3 linked regions of the Macaca fascicularis genome follow. The protein of the gene in region 1 purifies or fractionates together with the protein of each later gene. This does not show direct contact. Links are inferred from orthologs where the notes say so. Each region holds a gene or a part of one and is shown in the gene's direction. Other genes may lie near its edges.

Evidence for each region. The genes of interacting proteins can lie anywhere in the genome.
Region 2: the proteins of KPNA4 (region 1) and MECP2 purify together in Homo sapiens (affinity purification with mass spectrometry; 3 studies listed by BioGRID and IntAct, counting the BioPlex papers as one, with this or other methods). This does not show direct contact. The link is inferred for Macaca fascicularis from reciprocal best matches to the Homo sapiens genes KPNA4 and MECP2.
Region 3: the proteins of KPNA4 (region 1) and KIF22 purify together in Homo sapiens (affinity purification with mass spectrometry; 3 studies listed by BioGRID and IntAct, counting the BioPlex papers as one, with this or other methods). This does not show direct contact. The link is inferred for Macaca fascicularis from reciprocal best matches to the Homo sapiens genes KPNA4 and KIF22.

What each region holds. Positions count from the first base shown.
Region 1 is NC_088376.1:63,526,372-63,530,478, reverse strand, and holds the start of KPNA4 (importin subunit alpha-3), read left to right. Parts: upstream 1-1,299; 5' UTR 1,300-1,589; coding exon 1,590-1,658; intron 1,659-4,107. UniProt on the Homo sapiens protein: Functions in nuclear protein import as an adapter protein for nuclear receptor KPNB1. Binds specifically and directly to substrates containing either a simple or bipartite NLS motif.
Region 2 is NC_088395.1:160,165,494-160,169,735, reverse strand, and holds the start of MECP2 (methyl-CpG-binding protein 2), read left to right. Parts: upstream 1-1,387; 5' UTR 1,388-1,420; coding exon 1,421-1,482; intron 1,483-4,242. UniProt on the Homo sapiens protein: Chromosomal protein that binds to methylated DNA. It can bind specifically to a single methyl-CpG pair. It is not influenced by sequences flanking the methyl-CpGs.
Region 3 is NC_088394.1:28,312,927-28,317,113, reverse strand, and holds the start of KIF22 (kinesin-like protein KIF22), read left to right. Parts: upstream 1-1,332; coding exon 1,333-1,369; intron 1,370-3,000; exon of another isoform or gene 3,001-3,049; intron 3,050-4,187. UniProt on the Homo sapiens protein: Kinesin family member that is involved in spindle formation and the movements of chromosomes during mitosis and meiosis. Binds to microtubules and to DNA. Plays a role in congression of laterally attached chromosomes in NDC80-depleted cells.

The sequences.
Region 1 (4,107 bases):
CTCTCCAAAGTGATTCCTAAAGTACTCCGGCTCTTTTCATTACCTCTCCCCCAAAGGAAACTCAGTTGTTCACATCTGTTAAACCCACTGACTTCTTCCATTTTAACTTAAAAAAAAAATTCCCCTCTGTTGGCTTTAAAAGTGTTTCCCTAAGAAACATATGCATTTTAAACATTTATCTCTGCACGTTGTTCTGCTCAAAAAATACACTAGAAAGGACCGGGAGTCAACGATTCTGAAGGAGTTTGTATCAGGGTCTCTTCTCCCTGCCTAGCCAAGTTTAAACACACCCAACGCCTCGATTCCTTGCTTCCGACCAGAGTTGCTGCTTTACATATCCCTGGACATTTGAGATGTTATTCGTTGATATTTCAATATATTTTAAGATAATTTTCCATTTCTGTTTTGTGAAATTTTTGAATACGTTCTTTTGTATCTCGTGTCATTTCTGCCTCTGGTAATGTTGTTGTCCCTGGTATCCCTGGAATTCATTTCCTTTCTCAACAGACAATATTCCCTGTCAGCTGCCACGGGCTCCGCCCTCCAGAAGTTCATACTTTGTGGTCAAGCAGCTTCTTTAACTTTCTAAGACGAATTACCTAGGAAGTGCTATTGTCCAAGGATCACCAGCTCTGCCTAAATTCCTACCTGTTGCGGGCGCTTAGTCACAGAAGATAAATCAGATACGTCTACTGGGCCCTTTCCTTTTCCACCCAGCGTTCCTGTCGCTTTCCGCTGAGCCTCCTCAACTCACGTCATCCCTGCAGGTCCTGGCCCCCAGACTCGACCCTGGACGGCAGGGAGCCCCAGCCCGGGAACGGAGCTGCGAGCGTCCGACCTGGGAAAGAGCGAAGCTCAGATCTCTCTGCAAAGCGAACAGAGAGCGCAAGGAATGCCCAGGAAGACAGGGCGCGCCCGGGGAGAGAAGAACGTTACTTTAACGCAGTCTCGACCCTGGACCCCTGCATCTAGGGCTTCCCGGACGAGTGATGCAAAACAACTCGCCCTGCTGCGTTCCCCGGCCTCTCCTTCCCCTTGCTGGTTTCCCCTGAAGTGTACTTCTCTGTCGCTTCCTCCCCATCTCTCCGAAGGCACGTGGTCCTTCCCTGCCTACCCCAGCCGCACCCCTCCCGGCCCCGAGCCGGCTCCTCCCAGCGTCGTTCGCTTCCCCTTTCCGTTCGCTCTTTCCGCCCCGGCTCTCCATCGCCCCTTCCCATTGGTCGAACGCACCGGAGCCTGGTTGGCCAATGGGCGAGCTGGGCTGGAGGCGATGGGCGTGGCCGCAGCTCCGGGGCCCTCAGATCGAGGCTGCCTCCCCCTCTCAGCCGGCAGCACATTCCGCCGCCGTTGCCGCCGCCCGGCCCCACAGTTGTCTTTGCCGGAGCTGCAGTCGCGCTGGGGTTAGGGCGGGGGGGCGGGCGGGGAGAGGAGAAGGCCGCGGCGGAGGCAGGTGAGAGGAGGAAGGAAGCGGCGGCGCGGCGAGCACAGCAGCTCAGGCGGCGACCCGGTTCCTGGGAGTGTCGGTGCGGCGCGGTGGTTGGGGCGGATCCCGCGGGGCCCGGGCGGGGGAAGGAGTCACCGGCCCGGCCATGGCGGACAACGAGAAACTGGACAACCAACGGCTCAAGAATTTCAAGAACAAAGGCCGCGACTTGGAGGTAAACTGCTGGACGACGCCGGAGGGGTGGGGGCCGTGGGCCTGGGGCCGGTCTCCGCCGGGACCCCGAGTGTGGGGAGTAGGGGCGGGAGCCGCCTCCGGGCCTCGGGGAATGGCGCTGGGGGCCGGCCCGTCCGTGACGCCTCTGCTAGCGCGCCGGGAAGTTTATGTCGGGCCTGCTCCGCCTCCGCCGGGGAGCGAGGTGCCCGGGTACGGCCGGCGCGGCCTAGGCCTGCCCGGCAGAGCCGGCCCGGCGCGGGTGCGAGGGGTCGGGCCGCGCGGCGGGGAGGCCGGGCGCGGCGCGTGCGGAGGAGGCGTGCGTGTGCGGTCGGCGCTGCCCGGCCCGGGCCGCGGCCCTCCCTGGCAGCGGCGGAGATTCCGGCTCTCGCTCGGGCACCGACGTCTGGCGCTGCGGGAAGGAGGGCGGTGGGGGTGGGAGGGTGAGCGTGTGGCGACCGAGTGGGGCTCTGAACTTCCTCAGCGAGGCCTGAGGCGTCTCCACTTAAAGGCATTTTTTCTGGTCTTCCCGACTCCCGCTTTACCCCTGCCTCCCCCCAATATCCAAACTACAGGACAACTTCTCCGTTGAAAAAAACACCCCCGGCGTGAGAGGCCATCCTGGTGATGCTAACAGTGCCTTCCAGCGGCCTGTGTTTTACTCTGGATATAGCTGATTCAAGATGTGGCTCACGGTGTGCCCTCTTCCAGGCAAAGGATACCCCTTATTTCAGCTTGTCCACAAATCTCTTTACCCCCTCCTGAGAGGAGACCACCAGCTGCATTCTTACATATAAAGTCCAAAGGGTTATACAAAGCTGTCATCCTCTAGTCTACAGTATCCTTTCCCTCCACCTGCTGGTGGTGGTAGTGGGGGATGGGGTGGGCTAGGGAATGGCACCATCACGTTTGATTATTTAAAAAAGAAAAAAAAAATCATTGTCTTAGATACAGCTGCTCCCCAGATTGTCTACATGGGGCGTATGGTTTAAATACATGCATTCACACACGCATACCCACACACCCCACTGAGATTTTTGATAGAAGACTTCTTCCCTTCAGCTTTAATAGTTTAGATAAATAGATTTATTTTAATACTTCCCTTCTGCATCTTAATCACGAGTTTAGCTTTTAGGGAAAGTGGTCAAGCAGTATTTTTTATGTTGTTCCTCGGTATGTTTTCGTAATGAAATCTTCAACTTCCCATGACATTTCTGAACTTGAGCGTTTGCTTGACTGAAATATTTTTTGGGCTTTTTACAAAGCTGTTAATATTATCTTTAAAGTAGTTTATGCGTTTTAGTGGGTTTCATAATTTGAGGGAGTACTAAGTGTCCAGGGCTGTTAATTCTGTGGTTCTTTTAAGGTTAACATATTACCGTTGTGATCCCTTTTTTAATACAAAGATGTCACATCTTTATTGAGATAATTCGCATGCTATAAAAATGAGCTGCTTAAATAACAATGATTTTTCAGTAAATTTACTTGTGGTGGTGAAAATGTTTTTTACTAATATGAATACTTAGAATGAGAAAAAAATCACAAATGATAAAACTTAAAAACTGATAATTACCACAAAATTACAGAATCCAGAAAAAGAGCAATTAGGTGCTTGACAGATCCCTGTAACCCTTTTTTCCTCTACATTTCTGGCTTCATTTTTCTAGCAGCTTCATTGAAATGTAATTCACATGGCATACAATTCACCCACTTAAAGTGGCTTTTAGTGTATTCGCAGTTTTGCAGCCATCACCACAATCAATCTTAGAACATTTTCACCACGCCAAAAAGAAACCTGTACTCATTAACAGTCACTCTCCAATTCCCAACTACCCCAGCCCCAGGCAACCAGTTTTTTGTCTTCTTAGATTTGCCTATCCTGGACATTCCATATAAATGGAATTGTACAATTTGTGCTCTTTTGTAACTGACTTCTTTCCCATAGTGTAATGTTTTCAAGGTTTATCCATGTCGTAACAAGAATGTATCAGTGTTTCATTTCTCCTTATGACCTAATGATCCTCCAGCTCATGGATATACCACATTTTATTTATCCGTTCATCAGTTAATGAACATTTTCATTGTTTCCACTTTTTTAGCTATTTTACATAATACTGCTAAGAACATGTTTGTGTGGACGTATGTTTTATTTCTCTTGGCTATATGCCTAGGAATAGAATTGCTAGATCATATGGAAACTGGCGTTCAACCTTTGGTGGAATTGTCAGACTTTCTGAAGTTATCCTTATTTTTTAAATTGATGTTTCCTCCTACCTCATATCTTTTAGCACTTTAGTCAAAATCAGATTAAGTGCTGAGGCTGTATTAGAAGAAGATTGTGATGTGTGACTTTAAAAAAACAAGTATACATTGACATTAACGAGGGTGTTTGTTTGTTTGTTTAGAAATTCATAGTGCCTTATGGTTGTCCTCTGGTGACTTTAATATCCTTT
Region 2 (4,242 bases), on another chromosome or scaffold:
GCCTTTCCAATCACATTCCCTACCACTCTCCAGCAACACTGACCTCCTTGTTAGTCCCCAACATGCCAGGCATAGTCTCTCCTCATGGCCTTTGAACTTGCCTGGAATGTTCTTTCCCCAGATATTCAAATGAGGGAGTAAAATGAGGATGAAAACCCATAGATACCTAAATAGCACCCCCTTTACTCTTACTCTATCTTTCTCAAAGCCCCTGTCACTATGTGAAATGATACATTATACTTATGTGTATGCTAGTATGAATCTTCCCGGCAAGAATCTTAGTATGCTGTCTGTTCAGTACCATGCATCCAGAGCCTGGAAGAGTGCCTGGCACATAGCAGGTAGTCAATAAATGAATGGGGGCAGGCAGCCAAATCAGAATCAGGTTTTCTTGCTAAGCATAGAACTAACAGAAGGATCACTGAATGGATTGGATAATGACTGGCATCAGGGTAAGGTCCCCTTAACAAACACTCCTGTCCTGAACACCTGGTTAGCTAACACTTTTCTCATATTTTCCCAAAACACAATTGCTGGATCTCAGCTCCAAATCCATTTTTCTAGGAAAGTGAACAATTGCTGGATCTCAGCTCCCAAATCACATCTTTCAGGCAGAGCTAACATTGCCCCTTATTCACACCTCCACCAAACCATCTGATCCAACAATGACAGGTGTCACGAGGCCTTGGCATGCACTCTCTTCCCCCGCCAGAGTTCTGCGAAGGCCAGGGTTGGGATTTGTTGTCAGTTTATTCCCCACCCCTACGAGAACGTGACCACCGGGCAGGCTCAGATGAAATAATGCATTGAGTAGGCCTCTGAAACCAAGGCCCCTCAGCTGGGGCAACGTCAGGCTCCAGGGCGGGTAACTTTGCTGCTTCTGCTGAAAATGGTGATATTGAGAAACTGCGGGTGCAGTGAAACGCTTATTGCAGCGCACTCGGTGCATCTGTGGACAGAGGGTCAATCGCCCCTCAGGGCCGCGCAAACAGGCGTCCCGAGCCTGGGCCTTCACTTGCCCCAGCATCCGCAAGGGTCCATTAATCCTTAACATTCAAATTCCGCCCACTAAACCAGCCCCTCCGCGCCCAAGCCGCCTCTTTTCCCCAAACGTCGGCCGAAAGCAGCCAATCAACAGCTGGAGGGGACCGCCTCCTTTTCCCTGGCCGAAATGGACAAGAAATCTCGCCAATTGACGGCATCGCCGCTGTGACCGCCCCCCCGCCCCAGCCCGGCCATCACAGCCAATGGCGGGCGGGCTCGCAGCGGCGCCGGGGGCGGGGCGCGGGCGCGCAGGTGCAGCAGCGCGCGGGCCGGCCGGGAGGGCGGGGCGCGACGTCGACCGTGCGGGGTCCCGGCGTCGGCGGCGCGCGCGCTCCCTCCTCTCGGAGAGAGGGCTGTGGTAAAAGCCGTCCGGAAAATGGCCGCCGCCGCCGCCGCCGCGCCGAGCGGAGGAGGAGGAGGAGGCGAGGAGGAGAGACTGTGAGTGGGACCGCCGTGGCCGCGGGCGGGGACCCTTGCCGGGGGGCGGGGGTCAGGGGCGGGACGTGGCGCGGGAGGGGCCCGCGGGGTCGGACGACACGGCTGGCGGATGGCGTCCCTCCTCTCTACCCTCCCCCTCCCGCCGCCGCCGGTGGCGACTCTCCCTTCGGCCCGTCACCCGTGCTCGCGGGTGACCGTCCTCGGCGCGGCCTCCCTGGAGCCGCCTTCGCCTGACGCCCCTCTTCCTTCCGCCCTCGGCGCGCATCCCGGCCCCCGGCCCCGCGGGCGCCCCTGTCGCCGGGGCTTCGCCTGTCGGGGCTGCGCGCGCTCCTGCCCTGCTCGGGGCTTTGGGCCGCGGCGCCGTCGCGCGCCCGCGGCCCCGGCCTCTCCCTGGATCGCGCTCTCCCCTCTCCTCCCTCGCGCGCCCCCTCTCCCGTTACTTGGCCCCCCCCACCGGCGCGCGTGCGCACTTCGCCTCCCGTCGGGAGAGTGCGCCACAAGGGCTCCTGAGCTCTCACCCCCATCTCTGGGCTTTGCCTCCCCCTCCTTCTCGCCCATTCCATGAATTTCTGCCCCCCCACCCCCACGCGAGCGAGTAGGTCCACCGGCTCCTTTCCCCATCTAGCAGGAACAAGGAGGTGGGGATTATTGTCCACAAAAGGACTAGACATTGTGTTCTGGGTCCCACAACTCATCATAAAGAGGTGGTTATAGTTCCCATCAGGAGCCGTGAGTAGGGGACTGTGCGTCCAGCAGCACCCGAGGCTCTTCGGCGCCTGAGGCTCTAAGGTGCGAGCGTGTCCCCAGGGTGCTCAGAGGTTCTTTGGAGTGCTGTGGCCTCGGAATGTGAGCACCCTCCCATCTTACCCTCCCCTTCGCCGGCGATCTTCCAGTTACATAAGTGGAGTGGGACATAGTAGGTAACGGGCTCTCATCGCCCTGGAGCGCTCGGGATCACCGGTACCAGATGGAGCAAGTTCATCGCGACGCTGTGGCTCCTGTTCATTGTGCCTGAAAGGTTATTCTCTGTTCAGTTTGGTTATGACCGAATCACCCAAACTGAAACTCAGATGACTTTTATATGGCAGTGGCAATGTTTCTGTGGTTTTGCACTAAAGACTTAAGGTCATTATGAAGAGTTTAAAAGGATTGCTCTCGCAGGGGAGACCGTTTATGACATTGCTAAGTATGGACCCCAAGGGGGAAAAAGCTCATTCTGGAATTGCTCTGTGGCGGTGACTTCTGTTGTGAGTGTGTTCGGGTGTGGGTTGGTCACAGCAGAAATGGGCTCCACCACAAAATTGATATTCCTGACTCATGGTCAGACAGATGTGTGCTTCTGGTTATTTTTCCAGGAACAGGAATGGGCTCTGCCGAGCCTTGCACACGTTGTGTCTCTGCTGTGCGGGATCAGTACCCCAAACTGAGATAACAGGATCGAATTCATGGGTTGGTTGGTGATCCAGGAACCATACCTACTTGGATGTGATACTGAGTGACTTAGACGTTGTAGGACTCTCATAAGTTTTAGGCATTTTGTTATACTGTAAAAAGCATATACGGCCTCGGTAGTAACGTTGCACTAATAGGTAATTATTACTCTAGAGAATTTTGGGTTCCGTGGCTGGAATGTTCATCTGTATCTCAGCAATTTCAGTTAATAACCAGATTAAGCTGACCTCTTGAGTCTTTTGAAATCTGCTGGGTCCCTATAATAAGATAGGGTCTGGATTTTTTAATCTTTTGGGAATTTCCACCAAGGATTTAGGGAAATAGGCTTATTTATGGGCTTTTCAGGATTTCTATTTTAAATCCCAGTCAGGAAGTGTAGGAAGCACTTGCTTTTATTTTCTTACGTGAATATGTCAGAACCTTAAATCACCCAATCAATCTAGAAGTAGTACAATTGATTAAAATAAGTCACCACAGGTCACCCATTCGTGGCAGGTCAGCTAGGTGGCTGATCACTGGAATACAGTCATATCCCCAGGCAGACACAGGAGCCTCACTTGACGATCCCAAAGTTTGTACATCTGAGCTTGAGACATGACAAGTTGAGGTCTCTGCTTTGTTCTTCATAGTTGGCAGTTTGTCTCCTCGGGTTCCCCTCCAGTTAGCTGTTTATCATACACCTAGCCCTTTCAACAGTGCAGGCAGCTTCCATAGTATAGTTTTCTCTTCAAAGTGCCGGGTGGAGGGGTACCCCCCTTTCCATTGTCCTAATGGCTCCATAGGGCTTCCATACCAGCCCTTTCCAGTGTCCTAACAGCTCAAAGAAACCATCTATGACTTTCTTGTTAGCACTGGCCTATCACACCTTCCTATTGCCTGTTACTAAAATTTAACCTGGAATGCTTTAAGCTTAGAGTACTGGGTCTTTGTTTTACCCGATTGATAGGAGAGTGTCATACAGTCAGCAGAACTCCGACTTTTGTGCTGTTTAATACTTAGGTAGGTCTGGGGCAAGGCACAAACCACTGTGTATTCAAAGGGTTATGGTGCTTACATTCTGTGTGTATATGTTTGTAATTTCCAACCAGAGTCATTTCCCGTGCCTGCCCTGCCTCTGTGCAATCTCATCTAGTGGAGTAGGGAGGCAAGCTGTGGAGTTTGAAAAAAAAATAAACAAAAAAACTGGCTAGATGAGTTTAATAGGCTGTTACCCCCTCTGGAACATTCCTCCCATGTGGAGATGAAATGAGAAGTTCGTTTCTTTAACCTAAAATAAAGAACAACAGAGATAAAATTGTTAGTTCCTTA
Region 3 (4,187 bases), on another chromosome or scaffold:
AGCTACTCGGGAGGCTGAGGCAGGAGAATCATTTGAACCCGAGAGGCAGAGGTTGGAGTGAACCGAGATTGAGCCACTGCACTCTAGCCTGGGAGATGGAAGTGAAATCCTATCTCAAAAACAAAAAAACAAAAGCCCTCATATACGCAAAACATCTTTAGAGGCCTCATTTCTAAAAACTGTAGTGGGATCCCAAGGCAAAACGTTTCAGAAACACTGATGTAAGATTTGTGTTTTTTGTTTTGAGACGGGGTGTGCAGTGGCACCATCTCAGCTCACTGCAACCTACATCTCCCAGGTTCAAGCGATTCTCCTGCCTCAGCCTCCCGAGTAGCTGGGATTACAGGTGCGACACCACCCCCGGCTAATTTTTATGTTTTTAGTAGAGATGGGGTTTCGCCATGTTGGCCAGACTGGTCTCGAGCTCCTCACCTCAGTGATCCCCCCGCCTCAGCCTCCCAAAGTGCTGGGATTACAGGACTGAGCCACCAAGCCCGGCCTGGGTTTTGTTTTGTTGTTCAGTAGGGTGGAACATAATGTCTAAACCTGGGCCCTACCTACCTGGTGCTCAAAAGTGGAATGACAGTCCCTAGCCAACCTTTCACAAAGGACAGAGAGCTACTCAACGGACCGCTGTACCCTTAAAGACTGGGAACCGGAACCGCGGGTGAGTGGGACTGAATCACAGAACAAGCGTTTTCCACGCTTCGCCGACGTGCTGAGTCCCAAGTTATAAAGACAGGAACATCCCAGCTGCTCTCCTGGGCTGACATGGACGCGAAGGGACCTACAGTGGCCTTGGGCCCAGCAGGCAGCGAGTGCAACGTGACTACCCACAGTCCAGCCCCTGGGGCCCAGATCTACAGAACCGACCAGACGTGACAGCCCTTTGGCTGGGGCTGCAGTCCCACGATCCACACAACGACTCTGTCTCCGCAGACGCGCCACCAACCACGGAGGCAAGAAACTGCAGAAAATGAAACGAAAGGGAGCCCAGTGCCGGGCGGCGCTCAGCAGCTCCCCCAACGGCCACCGTCGTCAACATCTCCGCGTAGGGGTTTGAACCGCAGCGCGCTCTCAGAGGTCAACGGTTGCGCGGCCCACGCGCGCGCATGCGTCCTGACCAGTGGAACCTTTTCTTGGAGACCCGGAGGCGAGCGCTGGAGGGCGGGATAGTGGCGAGCCACCCGCAGGAGCTTCCGGCGGCGCGTAGTCGTGATTGGCGGAGCCTGGGAGAGGGGGCGGGGCAACGGGGAATTCGAATGGGAGAGGCGGGCCCAAGGAGGGAGGGGAATGTCCGCGGGGGTCTCGACGCAGCAGAGGCAACGCGAGATGGCGGCAGCGGTAGCGGCAGCGGCGGCTACCTCAGGTACTTGAGCCCGGCCTGGGCAAGGCGGGCACCGACGTCTGGAGCTTAGTGGGAGTCATGCGTCGGAGTGTGGTCCAGGTTCCGCGGGTTGTCGCGGAGAGGCGGCCACAGCGCAGGGGCGGGGAGAGGGGGGACGGCGAGAGTGTGGGGTCGCGAGTTGGTCGGCCAGCCTGACTCCAGCCTTCTCCCTGTTTCCTGCTCTCTCCTTGGGTCAGTAGACTCGGGTCTCCGGCCCAGGCTCTTGATTTGAACCCCGCGCACTTTGTGAGCTTCGGTTTCTTCCTCTGTGAAATGGGGGTCATGGCCTTGTCCCTGGAGATGACCTGAATAAGCAAGAGAAGAGTGGCGGACGCTCTAGCCACGAGGACGAGAAGGGAGCCGGAGGCGTGTTTTGGGAAGGGTTCTGTGTGGGACATGGTGTTTGGGTGCAGAGACATCCCTGAGAGATGCAGGAGGGCGGATTGAGGATCAGACCCGGCTGCTGCTGGGTTTGAGTTGACAGCGTAAGATGCTCTGCGATTACAATAAAACGAAATAAAAGGCTGAAGTTTCCTTTCACTCTAGCATGGAAGTGAATGCTATTTTAGGGTTAGAAAGGCTGTTAGGACACCCAAAATCTTGTATGTGAGTATTTGTTTACATGTGCCTGTCTAACCCGTAGACTTAGCCCTTGTCAGTGATGATGGTGGGCGCCATAGTAATTCATTGGAACCCTCGTTAGCCTCGTGGGGAAACAGACATTTAGGAGAATGCCTAACATGTAGAGCTCTTGCTATGTGCCAGGCACAGTTGTAGGCATTTTATGGTGGTGAACCATTTATTGTCCACACAATGCTATGAGGTTGTTACTATTACTGTCTTCGTTTTATACAGGAAACTGAGGTTAGTTTGTTCAGATTTAACGCAACTAGTAAATATTGGGGCCTGAATTCGCTCTCAAGGAGTCAGAGTGTAGAGCCTCTGCTCTTAACCATTATGCCCAAGTACATGCTGTCCCTGCTGGCTGAGCAGAGTCTCCCCTTACCCTGATGCACTGTGTCCGGTGCATGGTAGATATGAAAATGCCTGAATATAATGTCCCTTCCTCGAGGAACTTAAAATCTGTTTGAATAGAGTGTCACATACTCAGATGTAATATGAAACACAATGAGAGATGTGTATACACTGAGTGTGTGGAATCTGAAGTAAACCCTTGAGTAGAATACTCAAGGGGAGGACTTCATTCAGGGAGTGATACTTGAGATGGGTTTCAAAGGTTGGATAGGAGTTTGCCAGGCTTTGACTAAGAAGACAAGAACAGCAAGTGTTGATTTATGATGTAAAAGAGGCCAAAGATGCTCTCTTAGCTCAATTTCCTCATCAAGAGAAGGAAGAAGAGTGAGTGAAATTTAGGAATTGTAGAAGAAGGGAAAATTAATAATAATTGCTAGTCTGGTCCAAGCTCAAGGTTGCTTTTATCATGAAAGGGCTAGACTCTTGTGCTGTAAATAATTGTTTACATGTGGCCCTCCCTCTTCCCTCCTCCCCTGGACTGTGAGCTCTGGGGCAGGAATGGCAGTGAGCCACTTTCATGATGGAAATGAACAAGCCAGTGAGTAGAAGTTGATTCACTACATCTTAATTTTTTTCAGCAAATACTTCCTGAGGGCCTACTCCGCGCCAGGTGTTGGGGTTAGAAAGGTGAGCAGGATAAAACTTGTTCTCACAGTTGGCAGTCAGGTGGAGAAAGTGACAAACACGCAATAGTGGGGCGTGACAAATGCTTATGGAGGGGCTAACAAGAGCTGTGGGTGCACCTGATAAAGCCTTAGTGTCTACCAGGAAAGGGTTTTTGGTTTTGTTTTTTAAGAGGAATTAAGATGTGTTTACCTCAGTCACTCCAGGGTGGGGTGGGGAGCAGTGCAGATATTCTAGGGAGAGAGATTAACGTGGACAAAAACCCAAAGGTGCAAGAGAACTTAGAGTTTTGTAGGAAGTGAAGGAAATTCATCATGACTGGTAACTTACACTGCAAGGAAGGAAACAGAGGGAATGACTAGAGGGCAGGGAGACACCTTGCTACCATCAGCAAGGAAGGCTGTAAAGACCATGACCTTGGGCAGAGGTAGTGCAGTGGGAATGGAGAGAAGTGGACTTGTTCAAGAGAGATTTAAAGAAATAGACTTGACAGATGTTAATGATGAACTGATGTGGGAGGTAAGAAACGTTGGAGTTAAAGACTCCCACTTTTGGGGTTGGTGCCATTCATTTACATCAGATCAAAGGAGGAGGCTGCAGAGAGATGGGGAAGGGAGGGTTCAGTTTAGGACAGGTGGAGTTTAAGAGGAGCCGTCTGCCAGGCTCACGCCTGTAATCCCAGCATCCCAGCACTTTGGGAGACCAAGGCGGGAGGATCAAGAGATCGAGACCATCTTGGCCAACATGGTGAAACCCCATCTCTAAAATTAATCAAAAATTAGCTGGGTGTGGTGGCATACGCACCTGTAGTCCCAGCTATTCGGGAGACAGAGGCAGGAGATTGTAGTGAGCCAAGAGCTCCACTGCACTCCAGCCTGGCGACAAAGTGGGACTCCGTCTCAAAAAAAAAAGGAGCTGTCAGGGCAGCCATTCAGAATGTGGGTCTGCAGTAGAGCGCTCTTGTGCAGAACGTACAATAGTACTTATCCGCTGTAAGATGTTACTGAAGCCAAGAGGACAGGTGACCTGCCTACTGAGTGGTCTCAGCTGGGGGCAACTTTGTCCCTCACAGGACATTTGGAGATGTCTGGAGAGATTTTTAGTTGTTACAACTTGAGGGTGAGGGTGGAGAATGCTACTG